Tribolium castaneum: one gene and its partners. The main gene of each other region encodes a partner of the protein of the gene in region 2 in a complex. Links are inferred from orthologs where the notes say so. Each region holds a gene or a part of one and is shown on either strand. Other genes may lie near its edges.

Region 1 (3,760 bases), on a different chromosome or scaffold from region 2:
GCGACGGGGGCCAAGGAGCGGCCGCCGCTCACGAGACAGAAGTCGAAGCGGTTCTCGTTCACCAGGAGCATTTCGAAGGAGATGTACCAGAGGACTTTGAGTCGGTCGAATTTGTGCGACGGGGCGACGCCCATTCTTGTGGCGGATTCGGATGAGGAGGACACGCTGGTTGAGGACACGACGATGCTGCCAGATGAGCCCGATGAGGTTTTTATTGACAAACAAGAGTTTGTTAATGGGTTTAGGATAAATGACAAAGAGATTAAGTACAATGGGGTTAGTTAAGAGTGTGATTGGGTGTGTAGATGTGTAGACACAACAGTATTATTTTAAGTAATAATCTTAAGTTATTTGTTCATTCACATATCATTAGACGTAAGGACGGTTGTGTACCAAGTGATCATTTGAATTCATTACAATTAGAGTACCTACTGAAACTGATATTGAAAGAATGGTTAAGACTTGAGTCTACCAACTATTCGGAGGAAACTCTCCTACTCTAATTACAAATGACGACATATAATACTCGCTCATTAGTATTAAGTAGCGTCCTTGTTGTTGTTAAAGAGTTTTTTTACTCATTTATAAAATGTAGACGTAATAAATTATGATATTAATTTGAAACTACCATTCAATTATTTTTCCTTTATAAATTCGTTCTTCAGAGTCTTTTTGACAATATTGGTTACACACAGCGCGTGCTGTTAACATTTAAACAGCACTTTTTTAAACAGGAAAGTACTAACCATCAAGGTTTTTTACATTGTTCCATAACTGCTGGAAAAGAGAAATCAGAGGTGATTATTTCTGTTGTTTTTTTCCCTTTCCCAAAGATCATCTGAGGCAAGTGCCCTCGATCCGGCTCTGCCCCTATATCATGTAAAGAATCTTATTCAAAAAAAAATTAATACCTGCTTAAGTATGCTGAGTTAAAAATAATCGAATTCTTTTAGTTTTCGAGAGTAAGTTTGTTCTTACAAAGTGGATTTGTTTTAATTGTGAATCCTGTGAAGATTTCACTAAAATGTTTGGCTGAAATTATTTGCTTAAGAGATGAACTTCTGTGGTTGTCGGGTTGGACCTTAAAAATGTGCCTCCTTGTGTTTTTCAGATCAAAAAAAACGTTAAATGACAAAAATCAATACATTAGACAAACCTCCTTGTTCCCATCTTGTAACAATAAGTTACCTCACAGATTATATTTTTTGTTGGTGTCGTACTTGTTGCCGTGTCGTTTAATTTTACTCACTTTATGACTTACTGTTTTGTGAAAGAATTTTTGCGGATTAAAAGTTCCAAATTCGTTGACTAGTGCGTGCTGATCGCGGTTAGTGTGTGCTATTGAAAGGGATTTTTAAGGGGAAAAGAGAAAACAACCCGGATTAAAGGGTTAGTTTTCAATAATTTATTTTTAGAAAAGTTTCTACATTAAAATCTATAATATTTTCAACGAATTTACTGGTACAATGTTCCAATTTCACTGTTTTTTATTTCAGTAGGTTCGTGAAATGCTTTTGAATAGGTGATATTAACATCTTGTACTGATTTTACTTTTAATTTATTTTAATAAATTAGCCCGGCTCAAAATTTAAATAGTAGCCTTGCCAACCAAGCAACTTCGAAAAGCCACAACAAATAACCCTAGACGCAGACGTCAAACCACACGTTTTTCTCCTAACCTGTAAAAGATGTGATTTAAATAACATTGTGAAATACTGTTTTTATTGATTGACTGTGACTGAACCGTTGCTTTAATTTATGTAAGTGCCATATTTATCATTTTTTCAGAAAAAACAAACAAATTTCAGATCATTATGTCTTTATTCTCGGCCCCCACGAAGTCAACGACCCCTTCCTCGATCCTGAAGAAAACCCCAAGTCTCAAATCGACATTAAACCGCTCCTTGAAAGTGAACACACCCACTAAAGTCCGATTTATTTTACCACACTCTAAAAAAGTGCGCCACATATTGAAGGACTACATCAAACACGGAAATGCAAAGGATTATGAAAATTTAGTGTGCCTAATTCGCGATGCCGAACTGTTTGATGACGATATTTCCTCACTGTTGAAGGAAGCGACTGAGTGTATTTCAATAATGAAGCAGGAGTTACGTCTTTTTGTAGAAGCACTCCTTTCAGTTGACTGGATCGAAAGAAACGAAAATGTAGTTAAGGAGTATCAGTCATTTATTGCGAACTTAGTCGCTGCACATAACTATCACGCAGATTTTGTGATAAATAAATTAGTCACATTGTTTTTTCCCCGTAAGTTTGGTAAAGTAACTAATCACCAGTTAATTACCAGTGAATTATTTAGCTCTAACAGACCCTGAATGGGAAAATGGAACCCCCAGTAAAACGGATATTCTGAAGTGCCAACACGTCCACTCCCTCCTCTGTGAACTTCTAAGAACAGTCCCTTTGTAAGTAATTTTTCAAGTCTCAGGTACTTTCCGGATGTAATTATCTAGAGTAATAAGCAATTTTCTCTATAAAATAGTTTATAAATTAAATCTGTGCTAATGGGCATTTCAGGTGCAACGAATTGCTAATCCACGCCCTGATCGACCACTTCCCTTACATGAACAAATCGACCCACATCCACGAATACTACATCCAGAACCTCCTCTGGGTCATCTGCTACCAGCCCACTCTCAGACCCAACATCCTCCACTTAATTTTCTCAAAACTGATCATCATGGACGTGAGTGCGCCCCGCGAGGAAATCGCGAAACTTGAAGAGGAGGAAATTTTCATGATGGACGAGAGCAAAACAAACACTACGATAAATCTGGACTGCGTCCATTCAATGGCACACACTTTGGACGTTTGCCTGGATAAAGTGTTCAATTACATTTACTCCGAGTGCCATGAGCCGGGCACTAATGACTTGAATTGGGGCAAAACCAAGTCTTTATACCAGGATATTTTGACGGTCTTTGATCAGTCGATCCTGCCAACTTACAATACTCATCACGTCCAGTTTGTTATGTTTGTGCTGTGTTCCTTTAAAACGACGTTAACGGAGGCGTTTTTTAATTACTTGTGGAAGAAGGTGTGCAATCCGAACGTCGCGTCGGTGATTAGACAAGCGGCGGTTAATTATATTGTCAGTTTTATAGCGAGAGCCACTTTCGTCCCCCTTACGTAAGATTTTTTCAATTTTTTATGCCCCAGTTTAATGGAAAATTGCAGCATGTTGAAGGGGACTTTGCAACAAATGGCCGAATGGATCCACTCGTATATCGCCACTCAGGACGGCCTAGAGTGCGTCAATTCGGACCTAAGGCTCCACTCTGTCTTCTACACAGTGTGTCAAGCCCTCTTTTATGTGATTTCGTTCCGGCACAAGGATTTAGTCAACACAAAAAAAAGTAATGATTTTTTTACTCGAACATTGTCACAACTTTGATTACAGATGTCGTATTTTTGGAGAGTCTGAACTTGGCGAAAATCGTAACCAGTCGGTTAAACCCGTTGCGGGTTTGCCAACCTGCAGTCGTGCAAAATTTCGCTGCTATTACCCGAAAGTACCAACTAGCCTATTGTTACTCAATCATTGAACACAATTCGAGGAACACTTTACCGACTGTTTATAGAGACGAGAAAGGTTTTGTGACAGTTTCAAGTAACGTCCTAGAGGCGTGTTACCCGTTTGATCCTTTTGTTTTATCAAGGTTCGTTGCACCGTTTTTTGGGGGATTCCCCTGACTGTTTTAATTGCAGGTCGAGTGCGAAAGTGCACCCGTTTTATCGG
Region 2 (3,760 bases):
TATTATTATAAATTTAAATGATTACATGGTAGTTTTAATCAGTTAACTTCCAGTTATAGTTATGTATATCAGATATGTGGCTTTTTATTTAAAATAATTTTAGCACACTTGTAATTCCCTTGTGTTTGAGTAATTTACTAATAACTATGATGCAGTCGAGATTACTTTTAAAAAATTTCAAAATTTATCAAGAACTTTGACATCAAACTGTTAAAGTACGTGTTAGGGCCGCTTTTACAAACGTCCGTAAACCTTATAACCGCGAATAAATTTCGAAAAATAGTTGTTTAAATTTAGCCTTAAGGGACTTAAAAATTGGACTATTGTCAAAGGTTACAAGCAAAATTTTGATATTTTTTTGCTTTTCTGAACAGTCTGCAGACAAGTAATCAAACCAACAAAACTGATGTATGTATACAGACTGATCCCGAAATACTGTGTCTGTTAGCAATCTGAATTTAAATTTTAAAGGATACCAATAGTGTATACTTTCAGGTATTAATTCAATAATTTAATCTGATGCCAACATACTCAGTTTCTCTGGATCATTGTGTATATTTAGACACTGTATTTACATATATTATTACATCTGAGTATGCCTATACATTCCAGCACGTTATTATTTTTTTAATAAATTTTTATTGGAAAGACTGTTTCATTTTATTAAGCGATGTTAAATGTTTTTGTGCTATTGCAACTGTTACAGATGCTTTTTTATTAAAATGTCTCGTAACAGTGCATGAGTACAGAAACATTTAACATTTATTATTCTTTTAATTTGGAAAATAAATAAAATGTCCTGTTTGAATTTCCCGCTATTATCGAATTAGTTCGTTCTCTCAGGGTTAGGTGGCGCTTTCGCGAAAAAACGAGGGGTAGACAGAGAGATTCGCTTCTTCCTCTCTCTTATTCTATGACTGACAATAAAATTGTCAATCGTGACAATACGATTTCAATTAACCATTTTATCCCCTTTACCTATTAAAGGCAACAAGGCAATTATGTTTTTTTAATAATGAAATTATTAAAATTGGTGGTTGTCCATATGCAATAATCGTGGTGGGTTGTATTGCTGGTTGCATACGCCACCGGGAAGTGACAATTGTCGGGTTCAATTTTCACGTTTTATTATTTATTTTTAAGTTTAAGTGAGTGTTTTAATAATGTTGGACGAGCCGAGCCTTTCCAATATCACGGATCCCAATTTCGGGCGCCCCCCCGAGTCACAGAACGTGGTAAGTGTCTTAAAACTAACACGTGTTTTTTTGAGGTTATGTTTTTTTTTTCAAATGAAAAAATTCAAATTTGTAGCTTTTGCAACAATTGGGGCACCCACACGTGTCTAGCTTCAATTACATGATAAATCAGGGGCTAGACCAGGCGATTTCTGATTTGAATCCGGTTGAGTTTATGGTAAATGGGGATAAAATCACACTTGAAATAACCGATGCTAGTCTCAGTTGCCCCTTGGTGCCGATGGGCACAGTTGGGGTCAAAAGCCCTAAAGTATTTCCATCGGAGTGTAGGCAAAGGGCCGCGACCTACAAAGGGCGGTTTATTGCCAGGGTTAATTGGGCGATTAATGGGGAGAGACAGACGGCGTTTGATAAGGATATGGGCCAGTTGCCCATCATGATTAAAGTATTTTTTGTTTTTTTGTGTGTGTTTTTTTAATTGGCGAGGTTAATTGTAGTCGAATAAGTGCCACTTGAGCGCCATGTCCCCCGCAGAGTTGGTCAAACACGGGGAGCATGAGCAGGAATGGGGGGGCTATTTTGTGGTCAAAGGCCACGAGAGACTAGTAAGGATGTTGCTAATGACACGTCGGAACTATCCAATTGCTATAAAACGCTCGGGCTGGAAAGCGCGGGGCTCGATTTTTTCAGACTGTGGTATTTCCATGAGGTGTGTCAGGGAGGACCAAACGGCCACTGTAATTTTTTAAAAAAATTACCAAAAACTTGGTATAATTTTACATTTTTAGACGAATGTTTTACATTTTGTTACGGATGGAACCGCCAAATTAATGTTCAGTTACAAGAAAGTTTTGTACTACACGCCGTTAGTCCTGATTTTGAAATGTTTGTGCGATTATTGCGACCAGTTTATTTACCAGAAGTTGATACAAGGGTACCAGCACGATTCCTACTACTTGGAGTAAGCATAAATTGTTACTAGAGACTGGATTTTTAGGAGTTACAAAAAAACTTAATTTAGAAAATTGGTATTGAAATTTGCTAATTAGAACATATTCTTTATTAATTCGTACAGCAGGAAAAATTAAACGTAATTTTTATGCAATATTGCAATAAGGTCCATTACAAAAACAAACAAAACGAAAACTTGAAGTTCTCTGTTGCACCATTTGCTTTTGTTTTTCTGTAAAAATTCAACCTAACAAATAAACTTATTGTATGGAAATGGATACTGGTACTAAATTGATAATATTTTTTCATTCAATTAACATTTTTATTTTTAGTAAATTTTTATATCTAGAATTTTGTATTCAGTTTGTCTTAGTTTGTCACTAACTTTTTTTCCACAACTTTTGGAGTAGGTAGTTTAAAAAAAAAGAACACTTTATTCACGCGTTCAATAGCTTCAGCAAAGGACGAGACTACTGCTTCTATTTTTTTTCTGTTATTTACTAAAATTTCAGAATGAGAATAAAGTTAGTTATTTTTCAAAGCGTCTTGAATAAAATAATGTTGTGCATTTGCTAGTGCGCATAAATCTTCAAAAAATAATTTAATATACAACTACAGTATTTCCACCAGAAAACTAAAACACCAAACTAAAAGGCTAAAACACAAAAAAAATAAAAAATGGGGAGATTGAAATTCTGAAAACTGAAAAATAGACTGCAGAACTGGAAGCACTAATTAATTAAAACATTACATTGTAAAAAAAAACAATTCACTAAGGGCCGGTTTATAGAAAGTTGCATCAAATTTTAATTCGTTGTTAAAAGTTAACAACGCGATTAGATCAATCAAATTGTCTCCGTTTGGTCACGTGATCAGTTAATCACGCATTAAGTGCGAATTAAATTAATGACGCTTCTATAAACCGGTCCTAAGAGACTGAAAAGCTGAAATACAAAAAAGAACTAAAACAAAAAACTGTGGGTGGTATTAATAGAAATAGCAAATCCTTAAATTTATGTTAATAACGAAATGCTTTTACTTATTTCTTTTACTTGTTTCTGTCTGTAATAAGGAATTATTTATCATTTGTGTGTGGTTGTGTGTCACTTAAAAAATTTGAAAAATTGTTTTCTTCAAGCATATTTCATAAGATACATACTAAAATATTCTGCAGTTTATTCACTATTATGCTATTGTAGAACGTCTGATGATTTTTCATGTAAAGGTGAATCTTTGCCTGAGAAAAAAAATTATTAAAATATCCTATTATTTAAATAAAAGGCAAGTGCCCCCTAATGGACTTCATAAATAAAAAAAAATCTGAAAGTAATTGTGAATATGCATAATTAACAACCCGCTAGATTGGTAAAATTAATTGATAAACATATACTGATTAAAACAATTAACAATAATTTAAACATCACAATAAAAAACAAAACGCAAAAATGTAACTGGTAATAAAAAAATTATACTGAGCACCTCCGAAAAAATATTTTTGGATTTTATGCTAGATGAACAGGAAAATATTTCTACATTATCAAAAATTTCTATTGGAATAGAGATTGGAGTAGTTTCTAATTCAATAGAAGGAAAACAAGAAGAGATTCCTGTAA
Region 3 (2,122 bases), on a different chromosome or scaffold from region 2:
ACCTTAAAACCTATCCTACGTGATAGGTTTTTTCCATAAAATTTAATAAAATCACACCATGGTTGTGGTCTCTTAGGCTCAAAAAAACATTTTGGGGAAAATCAAAAAAACACTTCAAAAATCAAAATTACCTCAGTGCGCTGGCGGGAAACCGGCACGCAACGGTAAACCTCGCCGGCGCCCTTTCAGCACGTGGTGCAATAACACAACGCAGTTATCGCAGCCCTAGACGGCCATCATTGGCCCCCACGTCCTGCACCACCTTCACTCCTCCGACAATTGTCAGTCCAAAAATCGGCGAATTTTTTACTCTCGGCGTTTTCAACGGCGAAGCCACACGTCGCGACCGGCGCGCTCAGACACCGGCGTAGAACCTGCGTGTATTTAGTTTTATTGATCGCACATGGACGACCTTGAATTTGGTTAAAGAGGAGGTTGCGTTGCAGAAAGTGGTCCTGCACTGCCCTTGCGCGAGACCTTGAAATTTTCGCTACAACTGGGCCCTGGGAAATCGATGCATTGCCCCAGGTGGTGCCCAAGGTGCTTGAATTGTCGGACGTAGGAAAGGGGAAAGACAGGTTTGCAAATAATAACCCCAATGTAAAAAACACTCTATTCCAACCTTAATTAATTACAATTTTTTCACCGGGCGTCAAACACGGCCACTGGATCAAAGTTAAGGAAAAATTAACTGAAAATTTGCAAGTGTTAGTAATTGATAATAAAAGGATACATCGTTTGGTTCTCTTCTTGTACATAATACGGTACCCACATTCCCGGCACCTGATTGGATCCCGCGGCCTTATTTCGTTCTCATTGTGGCATTCTAAATAATTTTCGAAAATTTTCAAATCAAAACATAACCTCACTTTCACGTACCTCCGCAAATGTAAACCATGGGAGTTTTCGTGGCCCCTGAGTCTTTGGTCGAAGGTTCCGACATCCTAATCACTTAAATTAGCACAATTTTTAATACAAACGAGCGGGAACGTAGTTTTCTCCTCTAATAAATTTTGTATAAAAACAACGCCACCATGCCGACTTAGGGAATTTCATCTTTTTTTTGTTATTCCAACGGTTGGCAACGCCAACGTATACAAGCGCGAAATTCAAAAAGGTGCAGGAATTTTTGATAGTTTATTAAAATTTTATTGAAATATAATACGTCCATTCCACATACCCAGCTCGAATCGTACTTTGTAACACTTGACCCGTCTTCAAATATCGATATTGTCATCACAATATGGCCAAAATTTGTTTACAATATCTCATTTAATAAAATAAACTACACAATAAAATAAATAAAACAAGCTAAAAAATACAAATTCACTATAAATGGCTACGGTTGCCTTTAATTAATAAAACTGCGATCCTCAATCGTCATATACATCCCTTCTTCCTCATATGTCGAATCATGTTTTGCCAAAATACGCAATAGAGGGCGCAGTTTCAACCACCATTGCTCTTTAGGCATACGCAAGCTAAAACAATTTAAAGTAATTATAAAAAACAGTTTAATAATTTATAAACGTACTCAAAGTTGGTTTGTTCTTTCAACTCAGCGACTGGTGTAAACTTGTATTGTCTTTTAACGATTCCTAACAGAACGACGCTGTCTTGACTAGAACAACTGACTGAGCCGTCTGAACTCATATTGCTTTTTAATTGGTTGATCATCCATTCGACCGCTTTGGACGCCATTTTGGTACCAACATTGCGGTCAAAAGGTGTGGGGGAACCCCCTTGTTGCATATGACCTTAACAATACACACACAAAAAAAGTATTAAATTTTTAAACAAACAAACGTCTATATAAATACCTAAAACGTTCATCCTGGCACTAAACAAGCCTTTTCCTTCCTCACAATACAATCTGTAGATAAAGTCGGTATTGTAGTTATCTGACGCTTTTTCGTTACGTAAAATTAAACCACGTTGTACACCTTCGGACATTTTCGTAGCCATGTGGTAGACATCTTGTTGCAAGTCTTTAATTGTGAATTTTTCCTCGTAAATGTACGCAGCATCCGCACCCCCAGCGAGACCTAACATGTGAAAATAAGTTGGCGATGCTGAATAATGAATGTGTTGGCAACATTGACTGTCAAACTTAAACATTAAT

The links.
Region 1: Polr1B (region 2) and Tif-IA share a complex: the UniProt entries of both Homo sapiens proteins name them as parts of the pol I pre-initiation complex. The link is inferred for Tribolium castaneum from reciprocal best matches to the Homo sapiens genes POLR1B and RRN3.
Region 3: the proteins of Polr1B (region 2) and Polr2K are in contact, whole or in part, in a cryo-EM structure (PDB 7OBA), measured with the Homo sapiens proteins. The link is inferred for Tribolium castaneum from reciprocal best matches to the Homo sapiens genes POLR1B and POLR2K. Residues at the interface, in NP_061887.2 of Homo sapiens: Val87, Ile92, Cys93, Lys94, Glu95, Val98, Ala101, Glu102, Gly105, Arg106, His159, His160, Gln704, Asp705, Val793, Phe794, Gln805, Asp808, Asp809, Asp810, Leu812, Pro813, Phe814, Ile815, Gly816, Ala817, Lys818, Leu831, Val848, Asn851; in NP_005025.1 of Homo sapiens: Met15, Tyr17, Gly20, Glu21, Ser30, Arg31, Asp32, Pro33, Ile34, Arg35, Cys39, Gly40, Tyr41, Arg42, Ile43, Met44, Tyr45, Lys46, Lys47, Arg48, Arg51, Val53, Val54, Phe55.

What each region holds. Positions count from the first base shown.
Region 1 is NC_087395.1:22,076,090-22,079,849, forward strand, and holds the start of Tif-IA (RNA polymerase I-specific transcription initiation factor RRN3), read left to right. Parts: upstream 1-1,601; 5' UTR 1,602-1,760; intron 1,761-1,808; 5' UTR 1,809-1,814; coding exon 1,815-2,268; intron 2,269-2,320; coding exon 2,321-2,426; intron 2,427-2,538; coding exon 2,539-3,150; intron 3,151-3,198; coding exon 3,199-3,377; intron 3,378-3,421; coding exon 3,422-3,680; intron 3,681-3,729; coding exon 3,730-3,760. Other genes in the region: tyrosine decarboxylase, read left to right, coding at 1-285. UniProt on the Homo sapiens protein: Required for efficient transcription initiation by RNA polymerase I (Pol I). Required for the formation of the competent pre-initiation complex (PIC).
Region 2 is NC_087399.1:7,572,342-7,576,101, reverse strand, and holds the start of Polr1B (DNA-directed RNA polymerase I subunit RPA2), read left to right. Parts: upstream 1-1,045; 5' UTR 1,046-1,163; coding exon 1,164-1,235; intron 1,236-1,311; coding exon 1,312-1,641; intron 1,642-1,693; coding exon 1,694-1,933; intron 1,934-1,984; coding exon 1,985-2,157; intron 2,158-3,760. UniProt on the Homo sapiens protein: Catalytic core component of RNA polymerase I (Pol I), a DNA-dependent RNA polymerase which synthesizes ribosomal RNA precursors using the four ribonucleoside triphosphates as substrates.
Region 3 is NC_087394.1:4,870,975-4,873,096, forward strand, and holds Polr2K (DNA-directed RNA polymerases I, II, and III subunit RPABC4), read right to left. Parts: upstream 1,072-2,122; 5' UTR 944-1,071; coding exon 880-943; intron 827-879; coding exon 734-826; intron 666-733; coding exon 643-665; 3' UTR 600-642; downstream 1-599. Other genes in the region: Pfk (ATP-dependent 6-phosphofructokinase), read right to left, coding at 1,352-1,481, 1,535-1,757, 1,821-2,045. UniProt on the Homo sapiens protein: DNA-dependent RNA polymerase catalyzes the transcription of DNA into RNA using the four ribonucleoside triphosphates as substrates.